5 linked regions of the Solanum lycopersicum genome follow. The protein of the gene in region 3 binds, or shares a complex with, the protein of the main gene of each other region. Links are inferred from orthologs where the notes say so. Each region holds a gene or a part of one and is shown on either strand. Other genes may lie near its edges. The genes, in order: myosin-15, RAN GTPase-activating protein 1, WPP domain-interacting protein 1, RAN GTPase-activating protein 2 and WPP domain-interacting tail-anchored protein 1.

Region 1 (4,242 bases), on a different chromosome or scaffold from region 3:
TAGTGCACTGCATACAACTATAGTGGATCTGAGAACGGAATTTATTTACAAAAAGAAGAAGAAACTTGTCAAATTGGAAATAGGACGGTCTCAACTTGGAGAAGGAATGAACTAATGAACGCAATGACATAGAGACAATAAATGATAATAAAGGTATTTATACTGCCAAATCTAGCTATAAAACTTTATTTTCTATACAACAAGGAAGAGGGGACTGTAGAAGGCAATCTGGGAAAGCAAGGCACCTCCTAAGGTGGCACACTCTTGGTGGATTGCAATCAACAAAATTTGCCTCTCATGGGATAACCTAATGAAGTGGAGTATTTTACTGCAAAATAGATGTCATATAGGTGAAGTTGAAGAAAAAACTATAGCTAATTTCCTCCATAGCTCATAAAGAAGAATGTTGTCTGTACTCTGACCGATTGGAAACTGCACTTTCTAGGTATTTGGTAAATAATAAGTCATACCTGACTGCTACTGTCAAGTTTTTTATAATATTAAAAATAAAAATTGCTCTCATTAACAGAGACAACAATAGTCCTAGAAAAAATAGTACATGAGATTAAGTAATTGAAAAAGACATTCTAATGAAGCTAATAGATCACCAAGCAATCAGTCTTCAGTGGGAGACGCTCTATGTTGACATGCCGAACAAAAATTGACACCCTTCTAAGAAAATAACAGAAAAGACCCTATAATTGAAATTCCTAAAGTTGCAAACAAAATCACCATTTGATGTTATGCCTATAAAACCAGTAAGCAGCAGTACCTCGAGAACTTGTTGTTCAACTGTTCGGTCATCAGCAGCAGCACGACCACCAACATAGGTAAGGTATTGCATTATCAACTTTGTGGTCTCTGTTTTCCCTGCTCCACTTTCGCCGCTAACCAATATAGATTGGCTTTGGTTCTCAGACATCATAGCCCTGACAAGGAAAATTTGAGCAAAAACAAATCACTAATTGATTCACTTTAGGAAAAAGTCACCAGATCCCCAAATGACAAGTCAACAAACCTGTACGATGCATCAGCCACAGCAAACACATGAGGGCTAAGCTCACCAAACGGAGCTCCTTTATATTGCTCCATCATGTGTACATTGTACAGATGTGGAAGTTTAGTGAATGGATTGACAGCTATTAAGATACTTCCTGTATATGTCTATTTAAGGAAAAAAGAGAGAAATCAATTATGTTGCAACGCACCCTGTAGGATGATGGTGTTAGAGCATATAAGAAAATGGTTATTAAAGCTAATGAAGACAAAAAATGCACCTGGTGAAACCCAACCAGGCGAATGATGATTCTTAAATAACGAACGTAATTTGATAACAGTAGCTTTTGGTTCAACATTTAGGTGAGCACAACATATGTCAAAATCCATGATCAAGATATTTTAGAAGCAGTCACAAGAAATAGCTTTCACTCTTTCCTCACCAAAATATTATCAAGGACATACTTAGACAAATATTGCAAACACACTGCAGTGATCTAGGGGGGGAAATCAATCTACTATAGTGAATAAAAGTCAATAAAGTGTCTTAATACCCATTTTCGTCGAATAACAAAGGGACATTCAGAACAAGGTATTTACTATTCATCTATCAGAGCCAACGTAGAACCCCGAACTATACCAAAATTGGCACTGGTTGATTCTGGAGTTTAATTATCTTATTGCTAGAACTCTAAATGGGTTATAAAAGGAACTATTTTAGCAAACTTTTTTACTTCTTTTTTTGTACATAGACATCACAAAGAATCACAATGCTTCAAGAAATAAGATAAGGAACCTTTATTTTAATTGTGATGCATTTTGTTTTCATTCCTCCTTCAAAGCAAACAGTATACAATCAGTTGCGGTAGCCCCCCCCCCCCACACACACACACACACCAGTTCCATGCCCAAAGCATCCTTCTTAAAACAGTAATTAATGTTAGAAGTGGCATCTTAACTACGTGAAGACATGATACTCTTATCAATATAAAGATCCTAGCTTTTTCTTAATTTATACAGTTGGAAGATATTGTGTATATAAAAAGAAATACCAAGAATTATAAATTCACAACTCACATAAATTTCATTAAGACCATATCTTCTCTGAAGGTTGTCTAAAACTCCAGGCTCATTCAAATAAGTCAATTTGGTCATATCATCAACCCCTCCATGGTCTGCCTCTTCATCCCTTGGATACAGCTTCTCCGGTGATGACAATACCTAAAAAAACAAAATTCAGTCACATTTTCCATCAACCCATTTGACCAAAATTAACAGAGAAAATTCATAACCAAGTGTTCGTCTCACTTTCTTGCCATATTCAGTAACCACTTGGACTTGTTTACCAATAAAATCAGTCACTTGAGCAGCAACCCAAGCGGAACTTTTGTCTTCGACCCATACATTAGAACCCTTTCGTAGTGTCATATTATGGGTTTGGATTAGCTTAAATTGACATGAAAGAAGAACAACAACTGGTTTCAGTGAAAATTTGGGGATTTTTCGGATTTGATATTTGAATTGGTTTCAGCAATACGCAAAACCCTAGAGAGAGAAAGAAAAAAGGACGATAACAACAAAGAAGAAGAGGTTGATTATTTCAGCTTCCCGCCCTAAAACCAAAAATGGAGAATCTGACAGAGTCCAAATTTTTGGCTCTCAGTTCCCAGCGTTATCTTAAGAATATTTACTAAACGGGAAACTTATAGCTCCACATTTACACTTTGAGGTACTACTTTTTCAAAACTTTCTTATTTTGGGATTTGATTGCTTAAGCACCTATTCTGTTGTAAAATTACATAAATTAATAAATTTTAAAAATAATTATTGATTATTAGCAATATTTTTTGTTTATTATTATTTATAGCAATATTATGTTATATTTGTAATATATATTAAAAGTAAAATTATTTATGCAATATATATGAATTTATAATTATTTATTGAAATATATCATATTTGTTTGATAAAAAATTGTCACATTATTTTATAAGTGTATTAAAATGTGTGATAAATATATCATTCATCACTAGAATTTATATTATATGTGAATAATAAATTATTGTTTATAATATTATATTAATTAATTAAATAATCAAGTGAAAAAAAATTATTACTATAAATAATAAAAAAGAAAATTATTATAGTATATTTACTTTAAGTTTCACTTATGAGTTTATGACCATACTTGTGAATCTTGTTAATAGTGGGACGGCAACCTAAATCATACTTCATTCCCTAGGGTATTTTAACTTTTATATTTAATTTAAAAATAAATTATTTTTTTATTAATTAAGAAAGTATTAATTGTTCTCTTTCAAATTTATCCTTCCATAGATAAATGAGATGAAAACTAATTTGAACATGTGATTTAAAGTTGATTCTATCTCATAATTTTATATTATACATAAAAATTTAAATTCTCCAAAATTTATGATTTGAAATTTTCCAAATACAAAAACTGATTACAAGTTTTATATTTTTTTTAAAAAAAATTGTATTTAATTTATATATATTTACTAGCTTTTTATTTTATATGTAAATAAAATTTATAATTCTTATCATTACTTATTAAACCATTTATATTCTATATAACGAATATTTTCGTTAATATAAAATCTTTGTTTACTTCAAATCAATTCTTAATTTATCATTTATATTCACCAAATTGATTATTTTAAATTAAATTTATTACGACTTCATCTAATCAGTGTTTATTAATAATAAAAAGTCATCATTATATTGAGTGGACATGACTAATTATTGCGGCTTTAATTGAGCAAATTTTTTTCTTAGCTACTAACAACTTGAATACTAAACTTATGTTCAGTTTATTTTTATTGAATTAAGGTTAGATCCATAAATGTTGTATCTTTACAATAGCTTTGTGATAATATATTGTACAATTTTATAAATTTTTATTTGTTTGGTAAGATTGTATAAAGAATGGGATAATTTTAATAGTTTACAACTTGTAATTTTTTATGTTTATTAAAAAACATACAATATAAAAAGTTCAAACTGCATATTCAAACAAAACTTCAAATATGTCTCATAATTTTATGTTATGATTTCATATCATAACTTTAAATTGTGGTTTCATATCACATGGCCAAATGGACCTTTAAATAAGGGAGATGTCATTGGGATTGTAATCTCGCTAAATTAATATAAATGAGACCATGAAATATTATTATTTTATAAAAGTATTATTTAATTGATAAATTAATATTGATTAATTTAAAG
Region 2 (3,956 bases), on a different chromosome or scaffold from region 3:
AGGCAGTGGCGGATCAAGGATCTGAAGTTAGTAGGTGCTTCACTTTTTTTAACATTAAATTTTACTGTTCATTTAGTACAAGTGCAAATACTATTTAAACACAATAGTGAAAAACATTAACGCAAAAGTCATGTTTAATATTACTATCGGGAAAGAAGACTGAGTCAAATTATAATGTACTCGACGACTTTTCGCATTTTAAAATTAAAATGAGTAATAATAACATCTCTTACACTCGTGAATATCTTATGCTAAACATAGAAAATTAGACAGCTTAATAAGTATATAAAAATTACTTGTGGAGGATCAATCTCGTGACCTGCGGTACCACAGCTTCAGCACCCACTTACTAACCAACGAGTCACATCCAACAGTTATTTAACGGGTGCTTACTAATTAATTATATAGGTTGCATAGTATTTTTTATATACCTATATACATTTCACGTAGGGGTCCATGGGTGCTCGAGCACCGAAGCTCTATGTGGATCCGCACCTGCCTAGTGGTACTTTCCACAAGAAAGTACTATGGGAAACAAGACTAACAATTAACCACCAAGCATTATCAGCAACAAGCTTCGCTATTTTCCACACAGCACTGTTACTTTTGAGTTTCAAAGAAAAAGGAAGATTTCTTCCATAGTCTATCATTTGAATAATGTTTCTTACAAGTATATATCCTCAGGATAATAAACATGAGTTGTCCCACAACAAGCAAGTAGCAACAAACAGTTCTGAGTTCTGACATTTGACGTCAGTTAATATTAAATTGTTCCAATTTCTTGTCTTTTCTCAGCACCTTCCAAGCTTTTCAGCTGAGGTGCTGCAATGCACATAAAATAAGTACAGATGGCATCTTGTTTGCAGTCACTTGATCAGCAGATTTATTTTATCTCACTGCACTAGCAGAATGACCAATAAATGCAAGACTTCTAAAATGATATTAGTCATATGATAACAGTAAGGATCGTGCATATTGACATTCAGGTCATGGTCATAAGTTGCAAAACACAGACACAAGAGTTAAAATTACATACAAGCATCACACTGGTGCAATAAGGTAATATCTTCCTCAAACGAAACATCTCCCCTGTGCACCAAATACAATGTATTTAACTAAATGATAAATCATATATTTGATCCAAAAAAGGAAGTTGACTTCAGACTTTTAACCGTTATATCTTGTCAGTTGAGCAAATCTAAGCACTTACCATTAGAAGGCTAAGAGCTCGATTAATCTATTGAAGTATTATTGTTTCCCTTTTGTAGAGGGCCAAAAGGCTCACAAAAGGTGGTGAACTATTCCATTTTTGCTGCCATCTCATCTCCAAATAAAAAGAAAATGCACTTTTATGATAAGCTACTATCCATGATTCAAGATGACTATTCTTTTACTTCCCAAAGTAATTTCTAAAGTTTGTGAGCAAATATCACACAAAAACTCATTATGCTTGAGGCACCCAAGGGTGTGTCCCAGTGGTCAAGGAAAGGGGTTGAGAACCATGAGATCATGAGTTCATTTTCCATCAGCAGCAAAAACACTAGGTGATTTCTTCTTATTTGTTTAAGCCTTGGTTGACAGAGTTAACTGGTAATTGTGTTGGTGAAGGTAGAAGGTACCACATGGAATTAGTCAAGGTTCGAGCAAGTTTTTGAGTTCATATCTCAAAGTTTTTGAGTTTATAGCATTTGGTTTTTCCCTTGCATCAAGCAATAATTCAAATAGAATTCAAGAGAAAATAAGAAATAGATTTATTGGCATTTTGTGTTGATTAATGGGAAAATTTTCAGATAGCCACAGGACTAAAGACTCCATCTTTTGCTTCTCCCTCACTCCCTTCCTCTTGAAGACGAAGATTGATCGATCACGGAATCAAAACAAATTTTGTACTATTTCATTTGTCCGGCGTTGTTAGATAGAAGGAGCCATCAAGAACTAAGCATGCCTCTTTCAAATCACTGGGACTTCTCAAGTTTTCTACAGAGTACTACAGAAAAACAAAAACAATAATACTTGCCACTGAAGGTCTTAAGGAATAAGTGTAACCAGCAGAGCCATGAATAAGAGTTCACAAATCCCACTATATCACATTTCTTCCATTTTAGTACAAACAAAATCCAACCAAACACCTTCATCCTTAAGGCCATCATTAAAAAATGCATTTCCCTTCAATGTCCATTTCTAAATATACTAAACAAAACTAAAAACTGGCACACATAGAGCAGAACAGATACAAATGATTCACATTGTCTACATCAACTATTCTAAGATTTGAGGCATAACTCATTGAACTCCATCAAAATCTACACTGAAACATAAACTATATTCTAATTCAAATACTTAAAAGTGAGTCTCAGTATTCGTTAAAACGAAGCAGAAAATATCATTCAAATGATGAAAAAAAAGAAGGAAATGCAACCATAATTGAAGGAATAGACAAATGGAACAATACAAAACAAAATCAGACCTAAAATCTTCATGAATGAATGTAAACAGAGAGGAGTAAGAGGAAACTTACTGGTTGGAAGAAACCCTAGAAGTGGCGAAGTGGGATAAGAGAGAGATCCAAAAAACCCTAGAAAAGAGAGGGGAGAGAGACGTGGAGTTGGAGTAAAGATAAAGAGATAATTAAAACTAATTCAAATACAAGTTATGTGCAATCATGATAGTCGTGTGCTGCTGTCGTGAATTTTTGAGGAATTCGATTTGGAGGGAAAATGCCCCTTTTTTTAAGCCACAAAAAGGGCCAAAATTATTCTTTTAACTATTTGAAATAGGAGAATTAACTTGTGTGCACTATAGTGTAAAGTTTTTTATACTACACTCGTTAAATCTCATTTCTATTCTATTTCTTTTTAATATTTAAAAATATTCATCTGTTTAATTGTTTTCTCGCTCTCAAACTCTATAACAATCGTTCAACTTGGGATTTTTCTATTCATGGTTCTCTTTCCCCCTGAGCCGTTGAATTCCTCATCTAGAGTTTTATGATCTCTTTTATTAATCTGAAAATATCCACAAAAGGTCATCATTACCTATTGATATTTTGGGGAATTATTTTAAATTGCAGTAGATGTTTGTATTTGAATCTATTATTGATTCTTATGATGGTTTAATCTAATATTGTTATCTCCGATATCTTAGCAACCTCTTGGTATGTTCGATTAAGATTTTTTATTACTTTGTATAATCATAATTCACTAAAATGTTTTTTAAAATTAATTTTTTGATAGAAGATCATCTTATTAGTGTAGGCTAATGCCCGATTAGTACATGAAACAACAAATGACTTGGCCCAAAAAGTAGTACCCGGGTCCAAAAGGAAATAATATGTAGAGTTTCCAAAACTCTTCCATCAACTATCCTTTCACTTGACTTTCTTAAAACCCTACCCCATTTCCATCCTTTCTCCGCCGTTTCTAAGTTGTCTCCTTCATGGTTGACCAAGTAATCTTTGTGATTTTTGACGTGGTATCATTCCATCTAGCTCCTTGAATGCCTTTGAAGTTCTACCGCCCTCCTTGCTTACATGTAAGATTTTCGTCCTTATATCCTTCTTTTTCTTTCGTGTATGAGCTACTGATTCTCGTTCCCTTTCAGATCGAGGTGTAGTCCCAAGGGATCATAGGTGGGCTTCGTTTTTGCTCATATTTGACTCCGATTGTGCGCTTGATGTTCCGTTTATTCCTGGTGTCATTAACTCCCAACTCAAATAATTTGACCAACAAGCCCCCTTTATATTAAAGTTTCTTTTATAGCTAGAAACTCTATTTGTAGCTTTGTTTTGCTCAATTTTACTTCCCTCTAAGAAGCATACTTCATCTTGAAATATTTGTGCTTTATGCTTCCTCTTGTGTCTGATGTTTTTTAAATATGCATTCTGTTTACGTGACTATCTCCGTGATGTTTATTTATGTTATTTCCTTTATGTTCCTGCACTGCTTCCATTGAATGTT
Region 3 (4,014 bases):
GGCTATTCATGCCTTAAATTGGACAGAATTATCTCTCCTCCAAAACCTTTTTTGTGGTAAAAAATAGAACAGAACATGTTAATTACAGCCAATGAAAATGCACGTCCTGGTGCTTAAACTACATATCTTGAGCAAGCCAACAATATCAAAATAATAAATAGCAACACATTTATCCACCTTCAATGTTGCAATATCAGAATTTATTATAACAAATAGATATCAACTTTTCAAAGAGTATAACCAATATTTCATCATAAAAAAATAAAAAAAAGCATAACCAACATCTGTTGTACTAGCTACGAACAAAGTTAAAGGATTATTTTAGGCAAACTGAAGAACTTAATGGTATTGTTTCAATAACCTTAACTCTTTTGACATAATCTTGATTCTTGAAGCAATAAATGCATCATAGCGAAAACCATTAGAACACACTCAAATCCTTCTATTATGTACATAACCATTAAGATTACCAATACTACATCAGATCGAATTTCATGACTTGCTGTCACCTCTTCCTGAAGCAATGCCAGTCCTAAATTCTTGGGCATGACAACAAAATGTTCAAATTTGGGGAAAGCAGGGACGCGTCCGGGTCGCGGGGTGTGGGGACGTCGCACATAACTATGCAATGACTGCAATCATTCTAATACTTCTTTGAACTTAGAATAAACTTCCACCCAAAAAAGAAATTTGCTTCATACAATATGCTGAAGACTCCAAGCAGAAAATAGAAGGCATAATCAAAACCAAAAAAAGAACATACTAGAATAGGCTCAAAATCGTATACTTCAAAGAAAACTGAAGATCTACCTCTTTCAAGATTTTCCTGAGCAGCTTGAAGGGTGAAGATAGACTCCAGCAGAGGATCATGATCTGTGGACAACCCCTGATACCCACTCCTCTCTTCTTTAACCTCCCAGGCGGATTCAACGCCTAGATCTTCTTGAGTTTCACACTCCTTATCATTTCTTCTGTCTAGAGCAGTCTGAAGTTCCTCGCTGAATGGTCTTTCTCTGGTGAGAACTTCATCACTGAATTGTCCATCATTATTCACTGAGCTTCCACCTTTCATACCATTACTTGTTGCATGATTATTACTCTGCATAGGTAGAAAATTGGAGCTTTGTGAGTCGGATTCCATGCTTGAATGAGAGTTTTCCTTCTCTATTTTGACCCTTTCTCCTCTAGGCTTTTTACTAATTTCAGCCTGACCCTTTCCCCGATGAGATTGCTGAGCTGAAGTACCCATCTTCCCACCCAAAGTACCTGGCCCATTCTTAACAGGCATATAACCATGGAAAACAGGTGCTTCGTACCTTGACTTTGGAGCACTGGCTGCAGTCGAAGACCTACTACTCCGATCCTCACTATTTTCCGAGTCTGTTCCACCCAAAAATATAGGATGAATCGCCAACCCAGAATTACCAATAAGACCAAAGCCATCAACAAGAACATCAGGGCTACCCAATAGTGCATTTACTGAAGAAACAGATCCATCACTATTTCGGATCGATCCAGTGGACAAATGTACAGGTTTTGCTGAGTTTGCAGCAGAGCTCGACAAACCACGCTTCAACAACTTAGCATTGTCTGTGTTACTGTCCTCATCCTTGTGTGCTTCCCGCCTGATCCTCCTCCATTTCTTCAAGCCAAATCCTTTAGCTGTTGGTGAGGATTTCACTGAGGGAGGTGAACCCACTGGGTCCGCAGTTTCAATACCTTTACCTTTAGACTCATCTAAAATAGGGGTATTGTGATTAATAACACTGGAACCATTGCTTTCAACCTTGTTCCGATCTGGATCATCCAAATCTTGAAGTGTGGTGGTCATTGCTTCATGTCTTCCACCAACTAAAGCTCCAAACTTTGACCAATCAAGTTCGATTACAGCATAAAGTTCAGGGTTTTAGCCTTTTAGACAACATAAAGAAGAAGAATAAGTCAGATCGAGATCGAGAATTTACTTACATAACTTGGATAAATGAATTGGATTATCCGATCATTACACTAACAGCAACAAACTAATTGGATTTAGCTAAACAAATCATCACTATCGATTATACTCAATCTGGAACCAAAGATGAATCCAGTAAATTGATAATGAACTGAATAGACAAATAAAAGTTGGGAAAGCGACAGAACACTACATAAACAGAAAGTCCAATATAAGCAGATTAAACTGCACTCATTATTAAATGAAAAAAACAGAAATGAAGAACTCAGATCAAGATCGAGAACAAACAAACAACCATCATTCCAGTTCATGGAAACTGAAAATCTATCAAAATTCACTATAAATTGAATTGCATAGCTTGAGTAAAAATTCCAGCTAAAAACACTAACAACAACAGCAAAATAAGTGGATTCAGCTAAATGAATGGATTATGCTCAATTTGGAACTAAAAATGAATTCATAAATTTGTGAAGCTATATAAAAAGAATACGAAATCGTTCATACCTTCTCCTCCATGATCGATGGATTTGCAGAAATGAGATGGAATTGAGGAATATGGAAACCCTAGATTTGATGTGGATTCAGAAATTTATAGCCACAAAATTGCTACAACTGATAATTTGGGGAAGACGACTTGAAAAGGAGTGGGGTAGATCGGGTCGGGTTGGGAGTTGTTAATAATACGTAATTGATTATTATTATTTTCAATAATTTTATTAATTATTATATGAACTATAGGAAGAAGTTGACAACTTCAATTTTTTTTTCTAATTTACTATTGACATTACGAAAGATTAAGAATTTGGGGGATTACTTTATGTTTGCGATGGAATCACTACACAATAACTCGATATTTATGATGCACGATTTGAAATTTCAATAAGCAATAAACTCGCTTATTATTATCTTCCACTTAAATTTCTAACTTGATGTTTAAAATTCATAACGTGTATAACTCATAGTCACAATATATTCTATATCTAAGTGCAATATCACTAAGAAAGGTCGAATATTAGTAGTGCACGATTTGAAATCTCGATAGAAGATTATACTTTTTAACTTAAATACCAAATGTGACCGTTTCATCAACAACATTGTTTTGTTTGGTACAAATGTGATAATTTCTATAACATGCTATTACACAACGGTAACCAAAATTAAAACGTTAGCTTAACTTATTATATCAATCAAATCATTAAAAATATATATATAAAAAGAAATCATATTAGTTTTGTAAAAATTTAACACAACCAATTTGATTTAATTGGTTAAAAACTATTCTTTGTACTTATTTTTTATAATGAATAAAGTTGTGTTAGTCCACGTGAAATATTTCCTTTAGATTAATGAACTAAGTTAAGAATTATGCAAGTATCGAATATAAATTTTGTAATATCTTTTCATTTGTACATAACTTTATGTGAAAAAAGTTTACATATATGTATTGATGGGAGGTAAAGATTAGTAGATATCTTATTAAAATATAATCGAGATACGTATAAACTAACTCAGACGTCACGATTATAATAAAAGGATGTGGATAGAACATGGGAGAGCCAAGAAGATAAAGAGACCAAAGTGGGGCAAAGTAGTGTGCAGATGATGTGGAAACCCACATGATGCAGTGTTTTTTAGGGGAAAAAAATGGAAAATGACACTGCAGAAATAACTAAGTGGAGGTCAAATCTGTGTGTTCAATTATTGATGGAATCTTCTTTGTGTGAGAGGAAATAATTAGGCACTTTGCCAGAGTATTTGACAGAGAAACATGTTGCATTTAATTGTTACCTTCCCATATATTTGTATTTTCAAAAACGATCTCTCTATCTTCACGAGTAAGATCTATATTTATTTTTGAAAAACGATCTCTCTATCTTCACGAATAAGATCTACATTTATTTTCAAAAAAACAAAAGAGTTCTCTTCGAATAAATGGATTGTTCTATCTTTTTGTTTCCTTCAATAAGGAACACTTCACCTCATGGCAATTTCCAACACGAATCCAAATTAATTGATTCTAAAGCTAATATTGTACCTCGAGTGACAACAAAAGAGGTACC
Region 4 (4,017 bases), on a different chromosome or scaffold from region 3:
ATTGTATTACGTGTAATTATAGTTATATTGCAAATTTTAACTTAATTTAATCTTGTTAGATGTTAGTTTATTAGCATTTTAATATTAATATTTAACATATTAAATTGCTCACTAACATCATATAATCTCGTGAATAGTTTAAATTTGCTAAAGCCTAAATGGCTTAAAATTATGATATTGTTTAAAGTAATATTATGATGAACATAATTTATTGCTTTCTATGTTTATGATAGATAAAAATCTAATAATAATAAGAGATATAAATTAATATAGTGAACAAAATTTGTTATATTCTCACTTTTAAATTCGACAATATAAACACGAAAAAGTTAAAAGAGTAGCACTTTAATTTTAGAAAATTTCAATTTGTGTAGAAATAGAAGTGTAGTAGGAAGTTTTGAAACTTTTTAGTTGGATAACCATTATTTTTTTCAAAATAAAAATTAAACCCCATATGACTAACTAATAATATACGTGTTTTTTTTTTTCAAATACAATTTTGTAATTTTATTTTTTGTAGCGTTGACACGTAGGTACTATAAAAATAATATTTTTAAAAAGTAAAATTACAATTATTTTTTTCAAAATAAAGATTAAAAGCCCTCGACTAACTACCAATAAACATGTCTTATTTTTTTTCAAAACAATGTTATAATTTTTATTTTAAAAAAATATTATTTTTTTGGCGCGCTATCACCTATATATATATATATATATATATATATATTGATGGATTGATAATTATGACTAACTATCAATACACGAGTTTTTTCAAATACAATTTATAACTTTTATTTTTAAAAAAATATTATTTTTTGTGGCGCTTACGCGAAAGCACTATCACCTTTCCTGTTATACATATAGATTATTTTATGAGTGATTTTTTGAATCTATAAATATAAATATTTCATACTTATAAAATACACCGTAATAGAAAAAGAATTATCTCCTTTATCTTCATGTCTTGCCATTTTCAATTTATAACTATATTGTTATGAGCTTAATTTTGTAATAATTATTCTCATTAAATAAAAAATATTTTGAAAAAGAAATCCAACAATTCTTTGATTTTGAATGATTTGTTTATTTTAAACTAAGAAAAAAAGTTATTATTCAAAATATATATATATTTTTTTTACATTAGGTTATCTCTCGAGTACAAGATAGTCGAATATAAAAACACTGTTCCCACACAACACACAGCACACATTGCTAACTTCATTTTCAGTTGAGATTTTCTTCACTTCCACTCTCTCCGGCGGCGCGTCGAACTCACACATTCTCTCTCGTTGTTTGCCGGTGAGTTACAACACACTCACTCCAACGGTAATTAGAAAAATCCCCAAAAGTAATTTTCTTTTTCTCTTGATTTTTAGGGTTTTCGCGGTTATGCTCTGTATGAGTCAACTTTTTTGGTCATGTGATTTCACAGATCTGTGCTGGATTTTAGTATTTTTTCTTGTTTAATGTGCTTTAGTTTTTGCTTTTATGTAGTTTTTTTATGTTTATTATTTTGGGGTTGGTAGAGTAGAGGTTGCAATTACTGGGAGGAGGACTACACTCTACAAACCCCCACTGTTAGGTATAAAGTTTTTATTTTTCTCGTGAAATTTCTTTGTTTGTAGGGGAAAAAGAAGGATTTTTGTTTTGTATTACAAGTTTCTGGTGTTTTTAGCGGCTCTGTAAATTGTATATATGTTGCTCTGTTCTGCTCATATGATTCCTTGGTAATGTGTGGTATTTTTTTTTGTATCCTAGAAAGTTTTTTTGTGTTATAGTGTGAAATGTGAATATACCTGGGAATGTACCATTTTTGGTTTTTGAGTTTTTTTTTACATTGTTGGATATGAATATGGTGCATTGCAAGGTGGTTATAAAATGAGAGAAAATTCAATCTCGTTTTTGATGATGGATGACTGTAGAAACTTTCCCGTTCTTTTAGACACCTGCTTGGTGTTTTGTGGCGAAAATATTGAGTTGTCAAACAATTATATCTGATTTCTATGACGAAGAATTTGAGCTCTTGAAATTTGATTCGCTTTATGTTAAGTTTTTCTTGTAGGTGTGCACGAATTGTTTCTTGCCTGGTACTTTGTTTTTTGGTTGTTATGTTTTTAACTGCCAGAGCTTAATCTTATAGTGGTTATATTTCTTGAAAGATAATCACTTTATTTTTCTATAGAAACTAAAGACACGATTCACTATATTCCTTTCACTCTAGGTTTTCTGCCAATGGATGCCACAACAGATAACTCTCAGCGCAGACCGTTTTCAATTAAACTGTGGCCTCCAAGTGAGAACACAAGAAAAATGCTGGTGGAAAGAATGACGAATAATCTTTCTAGTCCAACCATTTTCACCCGCAAGTACCGCAGTCTATCCAAGGAAGAGGCTGCCAAAAATGCTGAAGAAATTGAAGATGCAGCTTTTACCATTGCTAATCAACATTATGAGAAGGAGCCTGATGGTGATGGAAGTTCTGCTGTGCAACTTTATGCCAGGGAATGTAGCAAGCTTATCCTGGAAATTCTAAAAAAGACTCCCAAATCAGAGGACAAGGAAATTTCGATTTCTGAGGTAGTTCCTACTGTTCAGGAGACCTTTTTTGATATCTCAAAAGGTAAAAGGGCTTTTATTGAAGCGGAAGAGGCTCAAGAACTTTTAAAGCCATTAAAAGAGCCTGGAAACTCTTACAGCAAAATTTGTTTCAGCAATAGAAGCTTTGGTATAGATGCAGCACGTATTGCAGGCCCTATCTTGGCAACCTTGAAGGATCAGTTGAAGGAAGTTGATTTGTCAGATTTTGTTGCCGGAAGAAATGAGGCTGAAGCACTTGATGTCATGAATATATTCTCAGAAGCTCTAGAAGGTTCTAACTTGAAGTTTCTGAATCTCTCTGATAATGCTCTTGGTGAGAAGGGAGTTAGGGCATTTGGAAAGCTCCTTCAGTCTCAAACCAACTTGGAAGAATTATTTTTGATGAATGATGGGATTTCACAGGAAGCTGCAAATGCTGTTAGCGAGCTAGTTCCTTCCACCGAGAAGCTTAAAATTCTTCATTTTCATAATAATATGACTGGTGATGAAGGGGCTGTTGCGATTGCGGAAATTGTGAAGCGCTCTCCTTTATTGGAAGATTTCAGGTGCTCTTCTACCAGGGTAGGTTCTGAAGGAGGGAGTGCCTTGTGCGAAGCACTTGGGATGTGCTCCCATTTGAAGAAGCTTGATTTGCGAGACAATATGTTTGGTCCAGAAGTTGGTCTTGTGTTGAGCAAGGCACTCAGCCAACATGAAAATCTTAAGGAAATTTACCTGAGCTACCTTAATTTAGAGGATGAAGGAGCAATTGCAATAGCTAACGCTCTTAAAGATTCAGCCCCTTCACTTGCTGTCTTGGAGATGGCAGGTAATGATATAACTGCTGAAGCTGCTTCAGCAATAGCTTCTTGTATAGCTGCAAAGCAGCTTCTTGCCAAGTTAAGCTTGGGTGAGAATGAACTCAAGGATGAAGGTGTAATTCAGATTGCCAAGGCATTGGAAGGACACAAACATCTGACTGAAGTTGATATGAGCAGCAATGCACTAAGGAGGGCTGGGGCTAGGGTGCTGGCTCAAACTGTGCTGCAGAAAGATGAGTTTAAATTACTAAATGTTAATGGGAATTTCATCTCAGAAGAAGGCGTTGACGAGTTGAAAGAGATCTTCAAGAAATCTCCTGAAATGCTTGCATCCCTGGAAGATAATGACCCGGAAGGAGAAGACGAGGGTGACGAGGAGAAAGAATCTGGAGATGAGGACGTTGAGGATGAACTAGAATCAAAACTGAAAAACCTGGACGTCAAGCAAGAGGCAAGTGTTGACGCACACGCACCAGATAGCAATTAGAATCCAGTACTTGACGATTTTTCTGCATGTGGCAGTTTTAGTTTTACCATTTTCTTTATGCTAAGCTGGCCATATTATGTTCCTCCAGCAAGTGCTTCTAACATATAGTTCCATCAGTAATTTAAATTTGGT
Region 5 (3,283 bases), on a different chromosome or scaffold from region 3:
TAGTGTTTTTTTGTCTCTGGACTTGAAATTTGAACCTGGGACCTCAAGGTGCTCAATTCATTTCATTGATCACTAAGCGACACCCAAGTGGATGCGTGTCCTTTCATGTTGAGCAGTATTTGGTGTTTTATGCTCTACGCAATTTACTTATCCCACAAACCTTTTCGATGCTGATTGACCACCCCTTTGGATAATATATGGAAAAAGGAAGATAGAGGAGAAAAGAAGAATGTCTGCAAATATTAATGATTTTATTTCTTCTAGCCATGCATGTCTGGACAAGGAAATGTGAATTGGTTCTCTCTGCATGAGGCGTTTTGTTGCTATTATGTGCTTGACTTAAAACAAGTAACTTTTGTGACATTAATCATCCTTATATAATCATACTTCATGCTGATGCATCTTGACAGGGCAAGATGGCGAGGCAGCAGACTATTTTAACAGTGATGCACTTTTAACTCCAAAGACGAAGATAAAAATGCAGACTGTTGAGCAGCAGAGACACATTCTGCGGATGCTGGAGAAGTCTTTGGCCAGAGAGTTAGATCTTGAAAAGAAGCTTACTGAATCTAGACAAGTTGAAGAAGAATTAGAAGTCAGGTTGCAGCAAGAAGCTTTCTGCATGGAGGAAGAAATTGAAGATGCTTCGCAAAGGTTGTTTGAGGGAGAGAATGCTGCTGAAGTTCTTTTAGGAATTTCAAAATCACTACTGGGTCGACTCCAGATGACACATTTTAATCTGAACGGTACTGTTCAGAAAGAAAGCTACTTACAATCTAAACTTCAAGAAATGGAGGAACATTTAAAAGCAAAAGACAACTTACTAGGGAAGTCTGAAAGCACTTCTAAAGAGCTCGGGGACAAGGTTAAATCTCTTGAGAAACGGTTGGAGGACTCTGAGTTCCAGCTGTCCAATACAACATCTGCAAGGAATAGTCAGGAGATAGAATCTAAGATCCTTGAAATGGAGGATATAATCAATACGTTGAAGGAAAAGAATTCTGAAGCAGAGAGAAGAATTGATACAGCAGAAACTGAGTGTAAAATATTGAAAGAAGCAAATGTGGAACTTGACAAAGAGCTGAACTTCCTGAAAAGCAGTAGTAGCATTACTTCTGAGAGGATAATTGTGCTTGAAAAACAGCTGAGGAACTCTGAGCTTCAACTTCAGCACGCAGTTGCATCTGCTGAAGCTAGTCAAGAGAAGCAAATCATGTTGAATTCTACAATCAAAGACATGGAAGATTTGATTGAGGATCTAAAATCAAAGGTTTCTAAAGCAGAAAGTTTGATGGAGAGTGCTGAAGATAAGTGCATTATCTTGTCAGAATCTAACTCAGATCTTAATGAAGAATTAACTTTTGTGAGGGGTAGGTTGGCATGTTTGGAGTCATCGTTACGCCAAGCTGAGGAAATGAAGAAGGCTACTGCCCGAGATATTAACTTCCGCAGTAAATTGATAACAGATCTAATTTTGCAGTTGGCTCTTGAAAGAGAGAGACTTGAAAAACAGGTTTGTCACTCCTTCCTGACTCTCATTCCTGTTATGACTGGAATTATCTTGATAACATGTACGACTTCCCTTTTCCTCCATCTATCCAGTTATTTTGAGTTTTTTTGTCTATTGACATGGTTAATGGCCTTAAATGCCGATTGATGACTGCGTAATTGAATACCAGTTATTAATCTGAAGCAGCCTAAATTATGCCTAATTATGAGATGGCATTTGGATAAGACGAAGTTTTGTGTCAAAAAAAAATATATTTATTATTCATGCACTTTGGTGGAATCTTAGCAGCTTCATTATTTTAATGACTTCTAAAATGCAGTTGTTGTGTGTGCAAGCTTGTCTGTATAGTTGATGCATTTTGTCCTTTTCCTTTTTTTACTTGTTTTAGCAGCAATATCTGTTCATTCGATCGAGTTTGACATTTTCTCGCTCTGAATTTAGTCAACTTTTCAGAGTTCGTGACCATATAGATCACACTGTAATCGTTAGAAGTATTTCTTACTGATAATGTATATGCATAGACGCGCACACAGACCCCATGCACACATTTTCTTGTTTGATAAACAAGTATTTTAAACGTCAGGTATTCTTGAGTTTCCAATGATCTCTACAGGTTCACATATTCGGGTTTTATCCTTCCTATAACACTAACACTTGTACCACTTCCAGTGGCTTCTTTCACTGAGCAAAAACAGTCATGGTCAAAGGAAAGGAATGAAAGTGGGCTGAAGCAGCGCAAGTCTGTGCACACTTGAAAGTTTTAATGGTGTTTGTTGATAATTATTACAGCAACCTCCCGTTGCAACATTTGCTCTTATTGTAGGAAGAAATTGGCTTAAAAGGAAGAGTTGAACGAGCTATACAAGACGATTTTGACCATTATTAAAAAAATTTGCTCTATATTAAAATTAGTTAGTCAGATTTTCAAAATAGTTGTTTTTATAAGTAGAGTATGAGTTGTGCTTAACTTGTGACAAGTTATTCAGTTTCCAGCTTGGCCTTTTGTGGTTAAAGTTGGTTATTCTTTCCTGCATGACTTCTTCATGGAAGAGAGTTCATTTGGACTAAATGTTAGAACAAAAGCATTGTTTGAAGACTATTAAAACATGGACGTAATTGTATAATTTTTCTCATCTAGATTAGTGTTTTTTCTGCAAAAAAATGTTCAGATAGCATTGCTGATAATGGAAAATAAGGCCCAGAAGAAGCCTTTTCAGCAAAAGGATAAAGTTCCTTCGCCAGCTCCCGAAAGTGATGGCAAAGATACCAGGGAATCCATGCTTCCCAAGGCTGAGCTTTCTGCTGTAACTTCTCTGAATAAATGCAAGGAAGAAAAGTTCTCATCAATAACTAATGTGGTACGTGCTTTATTTGGTCTTATGCTTATTTTTATTCACGACTCACGAGTCATATGTTCTTCTGGTTATTTCAGTATTTGAATTTACTATTTTAGATACCAGTCAACTATTATATTTTGATGCTGTACATCCCATCATCAGCCAAATAACCTTAGCTGTGTGCCTGTGCCTATAAGTGAAAAGATCTTGAGTACTTTGTTTTACTCAAAGCTTAACTTATCTGGTTGACAACTTAGCAAAGGAAAGATGCCTAACTCTGTTGTGGCACCATTGTTTCTGTTAATTCATTTTCAGGAAGAGAATGTTTATGGTGACTTTATGTCGATCAAGTCAAAAGAGACTGATTCTTCAACCAGACTTGATGCCTCGCGGGACATAGATGCAAGGCAGCTTAGTTGGAAGTATGTCCTTGCAG

Evidence for each region.
Region 1: WPP domain-interacting protein 1 (region 3) and myosin-15 share a complex: the UniProt entries of both Arabidopsis thaliana proteins name them as parts of the LINC complex. The link is inferred for Solanum lycopersicum from reciprocal best matches to the Arabidopsis thaliana genes WIP1 and XI-I.
Region 2: WPP domain-interacting protein 1 (region 3) and RAN GTPase-activating protein 1 share a complex: the UniProt entries of both Arabidopsis thaliana proteins name them as parts of the ran complex. The link is inferred for Solanum lycopersicum from reciprocal best matches to the Arabidopsis thaliana genes WIP1 and RANGAP1.
Region 4: WPP domain-interacting protein 1 (region 3) and RAN GTPase-activating protein 2 share a complex: the UniProt entries of both Arabidopsis thaliana proteins name them as parts of the ran complex. The link is inferred for Solanum lycopersicum from reciprocal best matches to the Arabidopsis thaliana genes WIP1 and RANGAP2.
Region 5: WPP domain-interacting protein 1 (region 3) and WPP domain-interacting tail-anchored protein 1 share a complex: the UniProt entries of both Arabidopsis thaliana proteins name them as parts of the ran complex. The link is inferred for Solanum lycopersicum from reciprocal best matches to the Arabidopsis thaliana genes WIP1 and WIT1.

What each region holds. Positions count from the first base shown.
Region 1 is NC_090807.1:50,288,939-50,293,180, forward strand, and holds the start of myosin-15, read right to left. Parts: upstream 2,812-4,242; 5' UTR 2,668-2,811; coding exon of another isoform or gene 2,622-2,667; 5' UTR 2,425-2,621; coding exon 2,305-2,424; intron 2,218-2,304; coding exon 2,074-2,217; intron 1,165-2,073; coding exon 1,019-1,164; intron 930-1,018; coding exon 773-929; intron 1-772. Other genes in the region: uncharacterized protein, read left to right, coding at 2,622-2,667. UniProt on the Arabidopsis thaliana protein: Myosin heavy chain that is required for the cell cycle-regulated transport of various organelles and proteins for their segregation.
Region 2 is NC_090808.1:59,911,043-59,914,998, forward strand, and holds the start of RAN GTPase-activating protein 1, read right to left. Parts: upstream 2,804-3,956; 5' UTR 2,519-2,803; intron 1-2,518. UniProt on the Arabidopsis thaliana protein: GTPase activator for the nuclear Ras-related regulatory protein Ran, converting it to the putatively inactive GDP-bound state. Plays a role in spatial signaling during cell division.
Region 3 is NC_090809.1:846,332-850,345, reverse strand, and holds the start of WPP domain-interacting protein 1, read right to left. Parts: upstream 2,804-4,014; 5' UTR 2,459-2,803; intron 1,912-2,458; 5' UTR 1,832-1,911; coding exon 811-1,831; intron 1-810. UniProt on the Arabidopsis thaliana protein: Mediates and enhances the nuclear envelope docking of RANGAP proteins mediated by WIT1 and WIT2 in the undifferentiated cells of root tips.
Region 4 is NC_090800.1:74,925,838-74,929,854, forward strand, and holds the start of RAN GTPase-activating protein 2, read left to right. Parts: upstream 1-1,204; 5' UTR 1,205-1,299; exon of another isoform or gene 1,300-1,348; intron 1,349-2,221; 5' UTR 2,222-2,232; coding exon 2,233-3,885; 3' UTR 3,886-4,017. UniProt on the Arabidopsis thaliana protein: GTPase activator for the nuclear Ras-related regulatory protein Ran, converting it to the putatively inactive GDP-bound state.
Region 5 is NC_090801.1:52,969,685-52,972,967, reverse strand, and holds part of WPP domain-interacting tail-anchored protein 1, read left to right. Parts: intron 1-410; coding exon 411-1,513; intron 1,514-2,679; coding exon 2,680-2,868; intron 2,869-3,162; coding exon 3,163-3,283. UniProt on the Arabidopsis thaliana protein: Together with WIT2, required for the nuclear envelope docking of RANGAP proteins in root tips.